Mus musculus: one gene and its partners. The protein of the gene in region 4 interacts with the protein of the main gene of each other region in a pairwise test. Links are inferred from orthologs where the notes say so. Each region holds a gene or a part of one and is shown on either strand. Other genes may lie near its edges.

The links. The genes of interacting proteins can lie anywhere in the genome.
Region 1: the proteins of Ccdc33 (region 4) and Lmo2 interact in a two-hybrid assay, tested with the Homo sapiens proteins (2 studies listed by BioGRID). The two-hybrid records come from large-scale screens. The link is inferred for Mus musculus from reciprocal best matches to the Homo sapiens genes CCDC33 and LMO2.
Region 2: the proteins of Ccdc33 (region 4) and Efemp2 interact in a two-hybrid assay, tested with the Homo sapiens proteins (2 studies listed by BioGRID). The two-hybrid records come from large-scale screens. The link is inferred for Mus musculus from reciprocal best matches to the Homo sapiens genes CCDC33 and EFEMP2.
Region 3: the proteins of Ccdc33 (region 4) and Zbtb8a interact in a two-hybrid assay, tested with the Homo sapiens proteins (2 studies listed by BioGRID and IntAct). The two-hybrid records come from large-scale screens. The link is inferred for Mus musculus from reciprocal best matches to the Homo sapiens genes CCDC33 and ZBTB8A.

Annotation. Positions count from the first base shown.
Region 1 is NC_000068.7:103,968,504-103,973,226, reverse strand, and holds the start of Lmo2 (rhombotin-2), read right to left. Parts: upstream 2,941-4,723; 5' UTR 2,869-2,940; coding exon of another isoform or gene 2,862-2,868; 5' UTR 2,766-2,861; coding exon 2,515-2,765; intron 1-2,514. UniProt on the Homo sapiens protein: Acts with TAL1/SCL to regulate red blood cell development. Also acts with LDB1 to maintain erythroid precursors in an immature state.
Region 2 is NC_000085.6:5,472,905-5,477,629, forward strand, and holds the start of Efemp2 (EGF-containing fibulin-like extracellular matrix protein 2 isoform 1 precursor), read left to right. Parts: upstream 1-1,785; 5' UTR 1,786-1,870; exon of another isoform or gene 1,871-2,106; coding exon of another isoform or gene 2,107-2,163; coding exon 2,164-2,274; intron 2,275-2,503; coding exon 2,504-2,552; intron 2,553-3,161; coding exon 3,162-3,368; intron 3,369-4,657; coding exon 4,658-4,725. UniProt on the Homo sapiens protein: Plays a crucial role in elastic fiber formation in tissue, and in the formation of ultrastructural connections between elastic laminae and smooth muscle cells in the aorta, therefore participates in terminal differentiation and maturation of smooth muscle cell (SMC) and in the mechanical properties and wall integrity maintenance of the aorta.
Region 3 is NC_000070.6:129,375,089-129,380,060, forward strand, and holds the start of Zbtb8a (zinc finger and BTB domain-containing protein 8A), read right to left. Parts: upstream 2,941-4,972; 5' UTR 2,652-2,940; intron 1-2,651. UniProt on the Homo sapiens protein: May be involved in transcriptional regulation.
Region 4 is NC_000075.6:58,027,839-58,032,152, forward strand, and holds the end of Ccdc33 (coiled-coil domain-containing protein 33), read right to left. Parts: intron 3,926-4,314; coding exon 3,777-3,925; intron 3,425-3,776; coding exon 3,218-3,424; intron 2,583-3,217; coding exon 2,496-2,582; intron 2,124-2,495; coding exon 2,010-2,123; intron 1,046-2,009; coding exon 920-1,045; 3' UTR 844-919; downstream 1-843.

The DNA.
Region 1 (4,723 bases), on a different chromosome or scaffold from region 4:
ACAGTGGGCTTTCAAAAACACTCACAGAACTCCCATCATGCTTGATGCCCAGAGGGTGGATGTTATTGCAGCCAACTTTGAAAGAGAAGAATCTGTACTTAGCTGGAACAAAATTCGCTAGAATTAAAATGACCTGTAGGGAAGCAGAAGGGAACACCAATTGCATGGTGAAGGATATCTGTGTTCATGAATACTGGCTTCCTGTGCACACGCTACCTTTGCACGTGCCTAGGCAAGGACCGATCTGCATCTGGAGATCCAAGCTGGTAAAGACCCAAGCTGGCTTTGAGCAAGCACTCAGTGAGGCCGCTGGCAGGAGAGCTAGTTGCACGAGAAAGAGACACGAGGGTCTGAGAACAACAGATAAAGACAGGACAAGATTCGGACTCGGTCTATCTTTCTATAATTAATGACATGCCATTACCTCTGTTGAACAATTCAAGCCAAAGACTAAATGAGATTTACCTTAAGTTAATATTTGATATTCTCCCGCCAGCCTGTCCCAAATATGACACCTGAGTATCTCTTTAGCTTTGATTTTCTGGCAAAAATTTCTCAACAATTTCCCAGAAAGAGGGGAAATGTTCCACAGACATTTCCCACGGGGCTTGTCCATCTTCAGTTACAGCCTTCCTTTACCGGACACATACTGCAGGAAAGATGAACTACCAGTGGACCTCCTGAACTAGGTAGGTGCTCACTACTACAGCTATGAGATACCTTTCAGTTTTCTAGTCTGAGGCAATAAAAGGCACCAACTTTAGCAAGAGTAAACTTCCTTTACAGAACACAATTCCCAGGCTGGAGAGAAGGCTCAGCTGTTTAAGGATGATTTCTGTTCTTCCAAAGGACCCAAGTTGGAGTCTCCACACCCAAATCAGATGGCTCACAACTACCTGTGACTCCCACTCTAGGGAGATCCTTCACCTCTAGCCTCCAGGGGACCTGAGCTTAGGTGCACACACACATTCATGTAATTAGTAATTTTTTTAAGAAGCCAAACTCTGTAGATTCAACATCTAATAAAGGATTAGTGGTTAGGTTGTGCTGATAGGGAGCCAGTAAACAGCAGTTCACCAGACTGCCTCCCCAACTGTGTAATCTTATGTCTTGTCCAATTTCTGAAAACTCGGGGCCCAGATGTAATTCTAAGCTTATGCTTAAAAGGGAACAAGCTATAGACACTGACTCTTTAAAGGGTTGTTGTTTCTCTCCTGAGATTTTAAGGAAGCTGGTCCTCTTGCCAACAAACCTAGCTCCTTTCTGAGCTAGTGTCTTAACCTTCAAGACTGAAGAGTGATGTTTATATTCTTGCTGGATCGTGGGACTTCCTGTGTTTTATGAGAACACGCTGGGTTTTTATGCTGCTGGCTGAGGGTAAAGCCCAGGTAAATAAACACCACAGAAGGCTGAAATTGAAGGGGGGGGTGAATAGGAAAACTCCAGCAGGAAAGCACAATTCTTTTAAAGCAGGAAAAGAAAAGAAAAGGGGGGCAAAACCCCACCAAAACAAATGCATCTTAAAAGCCCAAACGGACAAGTCATTAGCAGTGCCTTTGGTCTTGTGTTAACAAATCCCTTCAAAGGATTAGATGAGGACTTCAAAGGAATAAAAACTCAAAACCAGACAGCTAATGACTCTTAAAAGGGCATTTGTGTGGACGTGGAAAAAAAAAAACCGATACCTTCGTTCCTGGCTCCCCTTGTTAAGGCTAGAGAATGGGCTAGGAGGGTACAGGCTGTGGAATGGGGAAGGGAGGGGGGGCTGTTCTTTGCAAACCAGCGCAAAGCTCAGAGCACTAGACAGTACATGCTCATTAAAGCTCTGGTTCGCTGACACACACACACACAGCCCTTCTGAGAGTTCGATGAGATTCTGCTCCCTAGAAAAACATACTAGACAGAAAAAAAAATGTGCACTAACTTTCGAGGTTCACATGCCCGCACTAGGAAACTCAGGGGAGGGGCGAACATGTACCGGGAGGAACGACAGATTAGCAATTCTAGAAGTCTCTGGAGGCCAGAACCAGTTCCCAGGTGGACAAGCGGACCTCATCAACTGTCCGCTCTACTCCGGGCCTGGTAGGAGAGTCGACGTCGGAGACCCCGGGATGTTCTAGTTGGGATGCCCCCCTTTCCAAGGCCAAATGGACAAAAAGGAAGGGAACCTGGAGAGGGTGGGACGAAAAGGGAGAAGGCAGAATCTTGTCCTCCACTCTCCCTGCCCTGCACCTGTGCCTCAGAGCTCCGGGTGCCAGCTCCTGGGCAAACTTTCTGGCCCTGGTAAAGGTTTGGGGAGCTTTCCAGATAGCCCGGAGCGGTCCGCAGGGTCGATCCCAGTTACAGCTTCCGCCGCCCAGTCCCTCTCGGTGTTTCCAGAGTCACCCGCGAGGAAAGAGAACCCCTGGGAGACGGAGGGATCAAGGGCACGCTGCGGGCGCGCACCTGGAGTCAGCCCCTCGCGCCTAGCCTGGGACCCTGTTTGGGGTGCCGGAACAGAAGCGCCACACTTACTCAGACGGGTCCAGGCTCTTCCTTTCGATGGCCGAGGACATTGGGGAGGGGGGCGGCGTGCCGGGCGGCGGGGGCGCTCCCTTTGTGGCGCGTGGCTGGCTAGCTGCCTGGACTCGGACCCCCTCGGGTGCTCGGGCGCCGCCGCTCCTGCGCCTCCTCTTGCTCGGTCGCTCCGCTGGCGAGCTCGCCCCTCCACGCTCAAGGACAGTCACCGCGCTCCCTTCAAACGCCAAAGAGAGAGAGCGAATCATCCAGCTGCCCGGCGCGCGGCGGCCAAGGCAGGGGGCCGGGGAGCAGCCCGGCCTCCCTCCGGTGGCTGCGACAGCTGCCGCTGCTCAGGACTTAACCTTCCATCCCGGTCCCGCTGCCGTCACCACAGCCGCCGCCGCCGCCGCCCGGTCCCGATCGCGCGCAGTAGCCGGCTCCGCCCGGTCGCCCCGAGCCCCTCGCACCTTCGCCGGGGTCGGGGCGCCGGGGGCAGTGAGGGGGCGGCGGCCTGGGGGCGGGGAGCTGACCGCGCGGCTCTCCCCAGGCTCCCTCCTCTCTCGCGAAGGTCTATTTTCGCTCAGCTTCCCTCTGTCTCTGGTTTCATTTCCTTTTTCCTGATCACGATTCAAATACAATAGAAGGAAATCACATTTAAAGAGACAGCTGCCCGCCCCCTCCCCCCTTTTTTTCTTCCTTTTTTTTTTTTTTTTTAAACGGGGCTCCTGGGGATTAGCAATCCAAATAGCGGCGGCGGCGGCGGCGGCGGCGGCAGCGGCAGCAGCAGCAACGGCGACAGCGGCAGCCCTGACTTGGCTTCTTAAAAGGGCCCGCGGCAGAGACCGAGAGTCTCCCCTGAGCCCCTCTCCTGGGGCAAGAATCCCGCTGCCACTAAACTGTCTTTTTCAGAGTTCCCCTTCTTCTGCCTTTCCCTTTGGCCTCAGGCTGAAAGTAACCACTCGCCCGTTCCAGCAGGAAAGAAAAGACAAGAATGTGAAATAAGCACCTGCAGAAATGCAAGCGTTGCTAATGGCTGGCTAGCGCGCGCTCGTCTCGGGTTCGAGGTCCCAAGTCCACAGTCGTGGTGCTCTGCGATGCCCGAGACAGTGCGGCTCTGCTGGCGGCAAGCTAGTAGCTGCGACTGCTCTCCAGAGAGGGGCGCAAGCTGTGTGACCAGGAACCTCACGCGCTAGGTGCGCCTGAGCAGAGCTGGGGGCAGCTAATCCCGCAGGGAGGGTGTCTGGGAGGGACCACGTTGTCCGGGTCTCCTCTCCATCTGCTGGCGGCAGAATTCCCTCCCCTAGCCTCTTTCAAAGAGCGAACTCCAGCGGTGAGGCTGGCCCTCTCTGTAAAGTATCAGCAGCAATACTTGCTTGGACCGGAGGAAGTTCCTTCCCGATAAAAAGACTTTCAGTTATTACTTACTATTATTTTGTCTTATATAAAACAAAGAAAAGGGCAGGTTTCTCCTTCAAGCTTGAAGACAAGTTCTAGAAGGAGAAAGAAATACAGAAGGGAAGAGATGGATTCCAGCTAGCTACTTTTCAGGAGAAAAACCTAGGTCCCCCTGGGCCTTGAGTTCCTTGAAACTGAGTCCAGAAATGATCGTTCAAGGCCCGTTAGCTTATGATGATGACAGTCTTCAGGTTTGTAAAGAGGAAAGTCCCGAGTGCTCTCAGAATCCATTGTTTAGTAAGAACAGCCCGGATCAAAGACATAGGCATTTCAGCCCCAATTTAAAGATTGCTTTAATAACCTAGACCAGCTCACCCCGGAAGATGATAGTCAGAAATGAATTCCCGGATTCCCCGTACTGAGCAAAGTCCTCCCTGATTTCTCCCTAGCAATAGCCTGAACCACTACCCACAGATTCGTGTCATTTCCCTCTCTCTCCATGTCCTGACACGTATACTGAAAGGGAATAATTAAAATCTGTGTTTGTGCGCCTGCCCTCGTGTTGGTCCAAAACCCACCTTCAGTGTATAAAAAGATATTTTCTATTTAAGTCCTTAGTTTTTCTAAATTAAAAAACAAATTTTTTACAATGTTTAGGCAAGCCTAAATTATATGATAAATACATAACTTGTTATTCTACTTTCATTTCTATCTGAAGTGAAAATAAACATTGTTAGTGGTAGCACAGGCCAGTAATCCCAGGTCAGGCAGGGCAGGAGCATTAGGGATTCTAAGTCATCCTCCCCTACAAAGTTCGTCACAGGCCAGT
Region 2 (4,725 bases), on a different chromosome or scaffold from region 4:
GGACACTGCTGGCCTCTGTGGACACCTGCACTCGGGTGTATATACCAACACACAGATACACATGTATATGCATCATTAAAAGTTAATTTTTTTATTTTTTCTTTTTTTTTTTTTAAAGATTTATTAATTTATTTCATGTATGTGAGTACATTGTTGCTGTCTTCAGACATACCAGAAGAGGGCATCCAATCCCCATTACAGATGGTTGTGAGTCACCATGTGGTTACTGGAAATTGAACTCAGGACCTCTGGAAGAGCAGTCATTGCTCTTAATTGCTGAGCCACCTCTCCAGCCCGTTAATTTTTTTTTCTTTTTTCTAATCAAGGCAATGGAAGCTGAGGAAATGTCTTATTGGGTAAACCGCTTGCTACACAGCATGAGGGTCTGGGTTCAGATTTCCAGCCCTAGCATAAAGGCCAGCTATAGTGGTGATGCAGGTTTGTAACCCTTAGAGGGCCAGGGAGGTGAAGACTGGCAGACCACTCTGGCACTCTGGCCACGCAATCTAGCTAAATTAGTAATTTCCAGCGACAAACCCTGTCTTAAAACATAAGGTGAATAGGTACACACGAATATACCACATACATTACCACTCAGACAGTTAAATGAAATGAAGCAGATTTTTTTTTTTAAACGTCAAGGCAGAGCGGAGCATGGTAGTGTACACCTTTCATCCCAGAGCCTAGGAGGCAGAAACAGGCGGATCTTTGTGAGTTCGAGGCCTCATCTACTTAGTGAGTTCCAGAACAGTCAGAGTTACACAATGTGAGACCCTGTCTCAAAATGACAAAACAAAAACAAACAAACAAACAAGATGGAAAGAGGTTGGGTAAGGGAAAGTTAAGGAAGACCTGGTTATTGCCGCTAGCGGTCTGGGCCAGGCACGGGAACCCTGGACACGCAACCCTTTCCCGTCTAGGCCCGCCTTGAGACGTGGGCAACGCGAAGTCCCGCCCATTCACCCCTTCCTGGGCGCTGGAGGCACCCAGACTCCGCCTCCAAGGCATGATCTCCGCTGGGGGCGGAGGCGGAAACTGGGTGGGGGACTTGGATGGGAAGAGGCTCGGGAAAGGGCTGGCACTGGGCCCTAGTGTCCTCCGCGCCCAAGTTCAAGCTTGCCCGCCTTCCCAGGGGCTTCCATTCATTTCGAGCCAAGAATACTGCTGCCCTCTCCCCCATACTACTGTAGTTTTGCGCTGGCACGGCTTGGGGAAGCAGTACCCCAAGTAAAGAGACCACCTGGAGGCCGTGGATGTGGATGCAGAGGGAATTGGACAATTAATTTGGACAATTAATTAAGTTGGACGAGGGTCTGGAAACCTTGGATGAAGTTTTAGGATCATCTAAGTGATGATGGTTTAACACTGGATAAAATTCTGAAAGGAGTAGAATTTGAAGCTCTGAGGATTAAATGCCTAGTAGGTTCTGGGAGGCGCAGAATCGGGTTACACGGAGGTGCGAATGCACAGCATGGGATTCCGGAGGCACAGGTTAGATAGGGTCTAGGTGGGCAGAATAACATTTTGAGTGAAGGCCCGGGGTCCTTAGGTGAGTTTGGGGGCCAAGCATCAAGGTCAGTGGCCTAAGGATCCAAACTTTGGGAAACTCTGGCTGGGCGTCCGCAGGCGACTCCAGGCAGCGCCGCGGGGGACCGGGTGGGGGCCTGTGGCCGGCCGGGGCGGAGAAGCCGGGGGGTCGGGGTCCCTCCCCCTGGCGCGGGCTCAGGAATCCGCCGAAGGGCGGGCGGAGGCGCCGGGGTGGGCCGCGGCCGGCGGGCGGGCGGGGGGCGCTTCCTGGGGCCGCGCGTCCAGTGAGCTGCGCGGTCCGTCCGTCCGTCCGCCCGCCCGCAGGCACTGCTGGAGTCGACGCGTGAGTGGCCTCCAGCGGAGGGAGGGCGCGGGCCGTTTGGCGGCCGAGTCGGTGCTGCGCGGAGCGGGGAGGCCTGCGCTTCACGACTCGCGGGGCGGGGGCGGGGCGGTCCGGGATTGCGGGCCTGGGCCATAGGCCTGCGAAAGGATTCTGTCCCCAGCCCTGGAAGGTTCCAGCCTCAGCACAGTCCTGAGACGAGACAGCTGGGACCCAGGCTCCCCTTCCAGATAGAGGGAATGGGGGGTGCTGTGGCAGAAACCCCTGACTTCTGCCCACCACCTCCCAGCCTCAGGATGCTCCCTTTTGCCTCCTGCCTCCCCGGGTCTTTGCTGCTCTGGGCGTTTCTGCTGTTGCTCTTGGGAGCAGCGTCCCCACAGGATCCCGAGGAGCCGGACAGCTACACGGTGGGGACCGTGGGGTCACCAGCTTGGGATGGGATGGGAAGGACAGTGAGATCAGGATCCTGGGGAGGCTGCTTCTGGGCAAGATTCTCCCCGGCTTGGTTGGTGGAAAGCTGGAGGCCATTGTGTGGAGCTGACCCGAGCATGACTCTGAACTCTGGCCCTGGTCTTGGCCTGGCTAGTTGGTGGAGACAGCCAGGGTGGTCACTGGCCACATCGGGTTCCCTTCCAGGAATGCACAGATGGCTATGAGTGGGATGCAGACAGCCAGCACTGCCGGGGTGAGTCTCTGTCTGGGGTACTAGCCATCTTCAGGAACTGGGAAGGGGGTTGTTGTTTCCCAGGGATACCTTACCTCCCAGAGCTGCTGCAGGAACTTGATGGCCCTTTTCCCTGTCCAGCTTGGTAGCCAGCCATGCTTCCCTTGTGCCACTCAGTTAGGAGCCCTGCCCCTTCAAGAAGCTGGACAAACGGCCTCTATCCTGCAGGAGGGAAGGGAGCACCTGGCTATTGCCCAGAGAGAAGGAAATACGCACACCTTCCCTGGACTGCACTGTACCTGCCTAGCCCAGCTCTTTATCCCAATGCAGCCTGGGAGAGCCGTGCATGCCCCGTGGGTCGGCAGGCCCGCAAAATTTCTCTTGGGCAAAGGTAGAGGCAGGGATTTGAGGAGGCAGGAGAATGGAGATACCAGTGTGAAACAGGGGGCCCCACTCCCAGTCCTGCCAATCCCTGGCAGGGCTTCTGGGTCAGCAGCCTTAGTTTGCCTAGCAGAGAGAAAGTCTTGCTCTGTTGCTCAGCTTAGAGAAGGCCAAGTTGGGCATCTGCCTCCCACTACCTCCAGGGCCAGCCCAGGTGACTGGCTGTGCCCAGCAGGCCCCTCTCTGCAGATGTCAACGAGTGCCTGACCATCCCGGAGGCTTGCAAGGGTGAGATGAAATGCATCAACCACTACGGGGGTTATTTGTGTCTGCCTCGCTCTGCTGCCGTCATCAGTGATCTCCATGGTGAAGGACCTCCACCGCCAGCGGCCCATGCTCAACAACCAAACCCTTGCCCGCAGGGCTACGAGCCTGATGAACAGGAGAGCTGTGTGGGTAAGCAAGGGCTGATCGGGTGTCTGGGCTTCCACGCGGTTTATGAGTTTTTTCCCCGAGACAGGGTTTCTCTGTGGAGCCCTGGCTGTCCTGGAACTCATAGACCAGGCTGGCCTCGAACTCAGAAATCTGCCTGCCTCTGCCTCCCGAGTGCTGGGATTATAGGCGTGTGTTACCATTCCTGACTTTTTTTTTTTTTAATTTTTAAACTAATTTTGTATTTACTGTACAAAGTAATGCGTTCCATCATGGTATCATCTCCTGGCACATGTCATTCTTGTTTGTTTTCATCTTCTAGTAGCACTTTTTGGTCCTCCCTAGTTTTTGTTGTTGTTGTTTTTGTTTTTTATTTATTTTTTTGTTTTCTTTTGGGGGCGATTTTGAGACAGTTTCTGGATTTGATCCCCACCATCACAAAAACAAGAGGATCTCTGTGGGTTCCAAGCTAGTTGTGGTCTGTGTGGTAGCAGACACTTGTAGTCCCACCAGTGGGGAGATGTGAGCAGGAAGACCTGAAGGTAAAGGGCACCCTCAACCGTAAGGGCTTTGACTGAGGACGACCTGAGCTGGGTGAGCTCTTATCTCAAAAAGGGAGCTAATTAATTAATTAATTAGTAAAAGTAATGTTCCCTATAAAATCCCCAGGCCTCATGCTCCTCTTCCCCCTGGCTCCTCAGAGACAGATCCAAGTCGTCATCTACTGCAGGCTTAGCATGGTCTGCAGGCCCAGGAAGGCCCTGGCAGCCCCTCATTTCCTGTACAGACACAGGAGCTCTGCTCGCAGCCTCTGGCAGCTTTTTGATCTGGAGTCAGCCTTGGGAACCATTGGCCTTGGAGGAGGAAAGATCCTGGCCCTAGAGTCAGCTGAGGGGTGTAAATGGACAAGGTTTTGTTTGTTTGTGTATTTATTTATTTTTAAGACAGTGTCTCATTCTGTAGCTCTAGCTACAACTAGCTTGGAACCCACAGAGATCCTCTTGCCTCTGCCCCCCACGTCCTCCCCCAGTGGTGGAGTTAAAGGTGTGTGCCACCAGACCCCACAAGGCCTTATTTTAATATGCTCTCCTAGTGGGTACTTCTCCTAGTGACTCCTTGGTGGACTCTTTTTTTTTTTTTTTTTTTGTACTATTGGGATGATCTGAATTACACATCCATGATTTAGTGCCAACCACCCACGTGCCCATGTGAATGGAGTCTAGGGCAGTCCGCCTCCTCCCGAATTGAGATCCCTCACGTGGTCAGGAGCATATGGGGGCCTCCAGGCGAAGGCTGAATGCTGTCTCTCACAGATGTGGACGAGTGTACCCAGGCTTTGCATGACTGTCGCCCTAGTCAGGACTGCCATAACCTTCCTGGC
Region 3 (4,972 bases), on a different chromosome or scaffold from region 4:
CTCGCAGAGGAGGAAGAGTATTATAGGAGCTTTTAGGGGGTGATTAGGCCACCCTGGGGGGAGGGGTGCTGCCCTCGGGGACGGGATTAGCATCCTAATAAAGAGATTTGGAGGAGTAGGTCTGCTCTCCACCTCATCCCTTCTACCCATTTTACTAATGAAGGCACAGCACTGTATTTACCCTCATTATGTATGCCACGAAGAGGTGCCTTCCGGGAAGCAGAAAGAAGCCACACAGGGCACCATAATCTTGTGCTTCCCAGCATCTACCAGTGCAAGAAGTAAATATCTGTTCTGTTGTTTTCTTCTAGACAGGGATTCCCTGTGTATGTAGCCCTGGTTGGCCCGGAACTTGATCTGTTGACCAGGCTGGCTTCCAAAACAGAGAGATCTGCCTGCTTCTGCTGGGATTAAAGGTATGCAACGCCACGGCCCAGTAATATCTGTTCCTTCTATGTGACCTGACCTTCGGTAATCTTAGTAGCACATATGGTCTACAGGGTCTAAGATAGGAAAGTCTTAGAATGAAATGTTAGAACACTTAAGAGGGACTGGGTAGATGGCTCAGCAGTTAAAAGCACTGGCTGTTTCTCCAAGGATCTGGGTTCAATCCCCAGCACCCACATGGAGGTTCACAGCCATCTCTAACATCCATGTAAGGGGATTCAACACCCTCATCTGGCACCAGGCAAGCACTTGGTATACTGGCACAAAGGCAGGCAACACACACACACACACACATATATATATAAATCTAAAAAAAAAAAAAAATAGAGAGAGACTCGAGTTTTGAAACTATACTTGGAAAGGCCTCACCGAGAAGATGACATCTGAGTGATTGGTGTCCATAGCAGGAAAGAATGTGTATCTTTGAAACTACTCCAGGCAAACCAAACAGCAGGTGCAAAGGCCGTGAGGTGGACAGGAACAGATGGAGGAGGGATGGGTGGGGAGAGGAGGTCACTGTGGTGTGCCAGTAATGTCGGCTAACCCCAGGGTCTTGGGAGGCGGGGCAGGAAGAAGTAAGACCAAGGCAACCCTGAGAAAACCCTCATCTCATAATAAAATTAAAATTTAAAATAAGGGGCCTGGGGATGTATCTCAATGGTAACATTTACCTAGCCCATGCAAGGCCCGGGTTCAAAATACACACACACACACACACACACACACACACACACACACACACACGCCACACGCACACACACCACACACACCACACACACACACACACACACACCATGGGGGTTTTGGATTTTTTTATTTTTTTAGTAGGATGTGAAGGAGCCATTTAAGGTTTGGAGAGGGCTGGGTTTAGTGGTAGAGTGCCTATGTGACATGCATGGGTTCAATTCAAGTACAGGATAATATCAGGTGTGGTGATCTATGCCTGTAATCCCAGCATTTGGTAGGGGCTGCAAGAGAATCAGAGGTCCAAGATTTAGGGCTAGCCTGGGGTACATGAAACAGTGCCTTCAAAAAAAAGATATATAAAATAGCTTTTTAAAAGAGGAGTTTTAAAACTTATATTAACGTCTTTGAATATTAAAAAGTATATAATTGTGCCAAAAATTTGCCTAGTGCATCCCAGCCCTCCCGAGGTGGAGGTAAGATCAAATTTTCAAGTCTAGCCTGAGTCCGCTTTAAAACAAAGAATAAATAGGTAAATAAAAGTGCGATTTAAGTGATAAAATCAGCGAAGGTTTTGGTACTTTGGAGACTGTTCCGGGACGCTGCAAGAACAGGGCGCCTTGGGGGGCTGCCACGTCTCAGCTCCCTGCCTAGGGATGAGACTCCCTAACCATTAGCGTTTTATTTTTCCCCCTTTCCCCTTTGCTAGGTAGAATAAACAGCCGGAACCCGTAGCCGTCTCATAAGAAATTAAGTGCAATATTTCGTCAAAGTGAAACCACTCCATTTACTAAAGTTCTGCAAATAGAAAGACTTCTAGGTGTTGGCGGCGTGTGTGGTTGGGTGCCCGCTAGGTGTGAATCCTATTCCAAACACGTCTCGCAAAGACGTGGATTACGAATAACCGCACGGTCAAGGGCGAGTAAGCGCGCCAGAGCGCGAAGGGACTAAAGCCGACAGTGTCTCCAGGTGGGAGATGCCAGGGACATTCTGCCGCGGGGCCAGCTGGGGCTCCATATTTCTGCCCTCGGTTCTAAGCCCAGAACTGTCGCGTCGTGATGGAAAACCAGAGAGTGGAGGGCGGAGTGAGACCGCCGGGCTGCAGCGCCCCGCGCCCCGCGCCCGACGTCTGCAGACACGCCCGGCCCCGTGGCGCCGCCTCGCCGCCGCGGCCGTCAGGAGGCTCGGGCGCCTTCCCGCCTTTCCCCGGGCCGGGCCAAGGCTGGCGGCGGGGCGGGCGCGGGCGGCGACGGTGCAGCCATTGTCCCGCAGCCGCGCCCGGGGCCGCCGCCGCCGCCCGCGTCTCCTTTGTGGCCGTCGCCGACCCTCGGAGCCGCCGCTCTGCGCCCCCGGCTGCAAATGGCGCCGGGTGCCCCCTGCGTCGCCCGGCGCACCGGCTGGGGTTGCAGTCCCGGGGCGCACCCCGGCGGCTCCGCCGCCCTCCGCCAGGCTCTGGGCCCGGCCCGCAGCCCCGACGCCCGGGCCGCCCTCCTCCCGCCCGCGCCCGTGCAGCCACTTACCGCGGGGCTCTAGCCGCTCGCTCGCTCGCTCGCTCGCGCGCGCGCGCGCTGCGGAGCGATTCCCGGTTCCGGGTAGGGGAAGCAGCCCCTTTCCGAAGCCGAGGCTTTGCGCCCTAAAACAAGTAGCCCCAACGTGGGAGAAACAAAAGGTATTTGCTGACGTGGGCGTTGGACAGAAACGCCCGAGGGCTGAGGACACAATTAAAGGGGCAACGCACAGATTTCAGGCACCAACCAGCAGCTTCGCCCACTCCCCCTGTCCGTGCCCACGCCCGACTGCACCCTCCGCAGGCACTAGGGCGCCCAGGTTCCCCAGCAGTTGATTGGGGATCATTCTTTTAGTCGGGAGCTTAAATTTTAAAATTGTACTTTACGTTGGGAAAGGCGCCTCCGGAGGGCAGAAGGGCTGGATTTCTAATATGTGGAGATATTGGTTCAAGGAGAGAGGGAGGGACTTAGGCGTGCCCACAAATACTGTATACATGTGACATTATTGTACTTAAGTTTAGCGACGTAAAATGGGAGAGAGTTCCACAAAATCGCCCTTTGACGAAGCACTTAATTTCAGTTATAGCCTTTTAGAAACCTCTGTAGGTCCCCATCAAGCCCTTTGAAGAGGCAAGCCCGGAGGGGCTGAGATTAAGAGGCCGTGATTCTTTATATAAAACTAGTACAAAACAGTGTTTCGTGTTTTCAAATATAAAAATTGGTCGTAAAATCAAGTTTCTCTTCTGACGTGACCCTAATATTTATGGCACACAAATATCAGGTGATACATTTCCTAAAATAGTAAACCGCTGAATTTTCATACTGCTTAAATTCCACAAACTAAATTAGTTTTCTACTTCTTCACGCTGATTGTCAAGTAATGCGGAATGGGGGAGAAGATTCAAAGTCTCAAAGCATGCGTTTAATATTTTGAGGCGTTCCTCTCCCAAGCCTCAGTCAAGCCCATCAGGGTCCTATTTCTCCGATCTCCTCACTAAGTAACTATGTATTCGAACATCATTCTCTCTGAGAATACAATACAGTCATTTCTGAATGAAAAAAAAAAAAAAAGGAGAAATAAAAAGGAAAGGGACATGCCTGGTCCTAGGTATAGTGGAGGAGAAAGTTTATTATAGATATGTGGGAGAGCACAGCCAGAGGCAGGAACATCTGGGAGAGTACAGAGTGAACTGAGCTGTGCCCTGTGATGTGGGGTGGGGGAGGGAGGAGAGAGAGCAGCAGAACCAAGTACAGCAGGAGACCCAAATTACAAAGAGGGTAGGGAGCCAAAATGGTTGGATTATATAGGGAAGAATAGCTCAGCCCCCTGGACTGGAGGATTCAAGCTAGGGGGCCGGATATGCCAGCCTAGAGGACCCTGTAACAGGTATTGGACTGAGGGATGCTGGGAGAACCTGGTGGCCAGGTCAGCTTTGACATGTTAACTAGGCACCCCAGCTATTTGTCCCAGGTTTGACACCTAACAGTTTCTTAATGTCACACCTGTTTACCCCAGGGGTGCTCTGTGATTAAGATTCGTTTCCTGGACTTTTGAGGTAATGGGAGATAATGGAAGGAAAGGTAGACCAGTGCTTATTTGAAAATCACTAGGACAGGGCTGGTGAGATGGCTCAGCGGTTAAGAGCACTGACTGCTCTTCCAAAGGTCCCGAGTTCGAATCCCAGCAACCACATGGTGGCTCACAACCATCCATAATGAGATCTGACGCCCTCTTCTAGTGTGTCTGAAGACAACTACAGTGTACTTACATATAATAAATAAATCTTTTTTTAAAAAAAGAAAGAAAATCATTAGGACACCAGGTGTTGTGGCACATGCATGTAATGCCAGAACTCAGGAGGCTCTGAGTTCGAGACCACCCTGGTCTACATAGTTCCAGGACAGGCAGAGCTACATAGGAGACCCTGTCTGGGGGACACACACACACACAGAGAGCAGGCAGGTCTCTCTGTGCTGTTCTCTTTCAGCCAGGATTAAGCTCAAAACAACTAAGCCAACCAGGAGGATCCCTTTCCCGGTGGAGGCCCGGTGTGCAGGAGCCTTTTGCCTACACAGTTGTCTAAAGGGAAGTTGGAAACAATTCTTTAGCAGCTATTCTTGTCTGCTCCCAACCTAGGCCCCGGACAGGTGTGCAGGATGCCTTTGGGAAGCCCCTGGGCACAGTGGCCAGGGTTTACTTTGGCCAGGTCACCCTGTCCCTCTACGCCAAGCTTTCAGATAAGGGCCATGTGACTGAGGCTCTACAGGGAGCCAAGTTCAAGTTCCTGGCCACCAGAAGATCCATATCTCAAGGAAGTGGAGCTTCCCCAAAT
Region 4 (4,314 bases):
TCTTCTCTCTCTCTCTTCCTCTCCCCTCTCCTTCCCTCTCCCCTCTCCCCTCTCCTTCCCTCTCCCCTCTCCTTTATGCTGTATCTCCTCTCAAAGATGACTCACAACTCTCAGTACTGAAAAGGGCCTCCTTGCTCAGACAGATAGCTCTGCAGGGGGTAGATAAAGAATCTGGGGTTCAGAGAGATTTCCAGTTAGTTAGAGTCACTCAGAAAGCTCATGCCCCAGAACCCAGGCCAGCTGGGGTTCCAGCTCTCACGACTTCCTGACTCTGGCTACATTTATACACATATCACCTGTTCTGCCAGCCATGATGGGATATTTGAATGGTGTCATAGAAAAGCTGCAAGCCTTTCTGTTCCTGGGTAACTCTGAAGACCTAAGCCTGTGTAAAAGGATTTCAGACATGAAAGGTGTAGGAGGGCTGAGTGGAAACATGGCCTCTCTCTTGTCTTGCACAGAGCTTGGCTTCAGGCACCTTATTTCTAGTCTCCATGGTCCCTCTCCTCAGAACTCTCCAGGGATCATCCCAGCTTTCCAGCTCAGGCAGCAGGTACCAGGCCACCTCAGAGAACCCAGGACCCAAGTTGGATGTGAGAAGAGCAATTGTTTATTCCACAAGAAAGACAAACACGGGCTGGAGAGATGGCTCAGCGGTTAAGAGCACTGACTGCTCTTCTGAAGGTCCTGAGTTCAAATCCCAGCAACCACATGGTGGCTCACAACCATCCATAATGGGATCTAACACCCTATTCTGGTGCATTTGAAGACAGCTACAGTGTACTTACATATAATAAATAAGTAAATCTTTAAAAAAAAAAAAAGAAAGACAAATGCTTATTGACTGACAGCTTTTATTAAAGGCGTCTTTGGGGGCACGTGAATCCCCAGCACATGGCGAAGGAGATCTGCTCCGGTCTCAGGTCTTCTGGTTGTTAGAGATCTCAATCTGAGAGTCTGAGGGTCTGTTGAGCTTCTTGTCTGAGCTGGGCAGGGAGGTTTCCAGTTTCGAGAGCTGCTGGCGATTCTTGGATGCTCCAGCATTCTATGACATGCAAGTAGGGCAGATGAGTACATCCCCACTCCAAGGGCATCTTACCTGGCAAGTCAGGCTCCTGAGTCTTCAAAACCCAGTAGGCTGTGACTTCTGACTAACATTGGAGCCCATTTCATCACCGAAAGTGACCCCTCATATCTCTGGGTCCCTAGTGCTAGATAAGCTTACAGAGGTAAGCTATGCTCCCCGGAAGCCCCTCATCCTTCAGGTTCTGTCTAGGGGTGGTAGAGCCTTGGCTGCAAGCCAAGTGCTGATTGGGGAGGGTAGGGAAATCAGGATCTTTGTTGTAGGGTGTGAAGTCCCAGGGCTGGCCCTCGGGTAGGGAGTACTGCCTTCTCTGTGGTTAACTATTTGTTCCTGGGAAGAAGGCAATGTGGATCTATTCCTAGTGTTGACATAACCTAAGAAGGCAGCTAAACACACCTTTAATCTCAGCACTTGGGAGGCAGAGGCAGGCAAAATCTCTGTGAGTTTGAGGTCAGTTTGGTCTACAAAGTGAGTTCTAGGGTATCCAGGGCTGTTACACAGAGAAACCCTGCTTTGAAAAGCCAGAAACAAAAAGAAAAAGAAAAAGAAAAAAAAGGCAGCTAAACAGAGAAACGGGTGGGAAGAGGTACAAGGTATTCTGTGAAGCCAAAGTAGAGCAAGAACATTCCAGAAATGCTTAGTATAGGTCATTTCTCACCCACACTGGTCTCCTAGAGGTTCACAACAACCAATGGGAAAGGGGACACATGGGCAGACACTCCTGCCCCTTTGGATGTGTGGAGGAATGGAGGTCACTTGAATATCCAGTTTGCTGACAGAACCTCAGCTCAAGACTTCTGACACTTACTTAGCTTACGATCTACCCCCCACACACATGATTTTCTCAGGGCCCCAAGATTTGGGGTGGGATGGCTTCTAGCCCACCACCTAGATTTCCAGGAACTACTCCGTCAGGGTCACTCACAGGCTGGTCTATGATGATGGAGTTTGGTGGCTGTCCAAAGCCGTGTTGTTGCTCTTGAAGACGAATGGCCAGGTTTTGCTTCTCTCGTGCCCAGTGGCGAGCTGACTCCTCCAGCTTCAGACATGGAGAGAAGCCATTGGAAAGCCAGCAGTCAGTATGGTTTTCCCTACCTCAAGCCAGGACAATCAGAATTTGGGGCGATCCTCTGGGAAGAGGCAAGCAAGCTCTGGCAGTAGCAGAGGTGAGGCGACAAATACGCAGCCCAAGACACAGTCGGATCTTCTCTGCACTTGGTATGGAGTCCAGTCTGATCTGAGTCTACACTGGGCCTTGACTCTGGTCACAGACTAAGACTGACCCTCACATACTGAGCCTAATTCTGTCAGACACTGAGCCTTGACTCTGCTTGTATACTAAGCCTTGCCCCTGGCTGTAGGCTGAACAGTGAGCCTGGTTCAGCCTGATCAACCCCAGCACCTCACTTACCTGGTTTTCCAGGGACAAGATCCGACTCTGAGCTTGTTCTAGCTTGGCCAGGAGGTTAAACTTGTCTGAAGTACCACCAAGGAAGTCCTGTGGGAGCACACACTACTGTAAGGTCCTAGCTGGGAGCTGAGGCCAAGAGAGCCATGGAAACACAAGTCTACTGCAAGAAAAGCCAGCCAGGTGTGGGTTTCAAATTCAGCTGTGGATACAGAGCCTCACTCCCGGGCCAGGGCCTCTTCCTTAAGACCGTCCCAGGGCTTCACATGCACTTAATCTCCCACGTTGCTTCCCACTCAGTACTGGAGAGTCTAACCTTAAACCATTTTTTTTAAGGTGGGATAATATATATTCCAGGCTGGCCTTGAACTCACTACATTGTGAGAATGACTTTACTTCTGCTCCTCCTGCCCCCATTCTCCTGAGTGCTGGGGTTGCAAGCAGGTGTAGATTTATACAGTGCTGGGGATCGAACACAGGGCTTCACATATGCTAGGCAAGCATTCTATCAACTGAGCTGCACCCCCGACTCATACCTAATGCTTTAACATATCAACTGCTTATGTAAATGCATTAATACATGGTATGTGGTTAAACTGGAGGTCTTTTGTAGCATAAAGGCTCATCAGAGCAGGGGATACCCATCTCTCACGCTTTGCCTGGCTGCCCATGCACTGGGATAATGCAAGCAGAACTCACGTCCTGGGATGAGGAAGCACACTCACCTGTGTTCTCATGCCACCAGAGCTCCAAATATTGATTTTGGGTTTGTGTACAGCAGGGGCACCTGGAGCAGCCTGGGCAGTGGAGTAGCCTCCTGGGACACCCACCTGTGCTGGCAGGGTCTCTGTGGACTTGGGGTGGCCCGGGCCATTTGTGTCTTGTAGCCTTTCTGCCAAATCTCCACCTGCTCCCAACTCCCTGGGATCCACCTGGGATGGGGAAAAGGGCTCTCCAAGGCTGCACCAATCCCAGAAGGTCCTGAGAGGCCCCATGGTGGGAGGGTGTCCAGATGGGAGCAAGTCAGGTGGCAGGTGAAGTTAGGATTCAGGGGTCAAGGGTGATCCAGGGCCTTGCTCTCTCCCAGGATGGCAGACAATGGTGAGATAGTTATCTTAGGAGCGCAAGAGCAAGGCCCTAGTACGAATGTTTCCAGTGCTGTTGGGTGCTGGGAAGCCCAGATTCTGGGCCGAATCTTCAACTTGGTTCATGCGAGGGATGATTGTGGGCTACCTGCTGACCAGTGCCGGCAGGCTCAAGCCAGACCTGTGTGGCAGCTCTTACCGGTAGGGCCTGCTGCTGCAGAATGATGGGGGCTGACTGCTGGCGGTTCTTTTCCAGCTCTGTCCGAAGCCTCGTGTTTTCTGCTAGCAGCATGGAGTAAAGGTCAACAGCCAGGGTCTCTCCCACGGGGCCCAGAGGAATGCCCGAGGCTGTGAACACAGGAACAGGTGCTTTCGAGATGGGCTTTGCTGCTTCTATGTGCCCATTAGCCTCAGTATCAACGGCTCTCCTTTGCCAGTAGAGTCAGGTCCATATCCCTCGGGCTGTCCTCCCAGGCTGTTTAGATTCCTACGTTTTCCCCATGTCCCTCCCTGCTCGATTCTCCTTGTATTTGTCTCTCTGGTCACTCTCTGGTCCTTCGGCCTGGTTGCCCTCTGCAGACTCACCCAGACTCCAGGTGAATAAGATTCCCTGAGAATTTCATGGTTTTCTAAAGACTTCCAGCCCCTGAGTACCTAACCATCCATGAAGACTGGGCCCAGGGCCAGAACTACAGAGATACTTGGAGAGCATTCTCACATGGCCCGGGAGATGATCC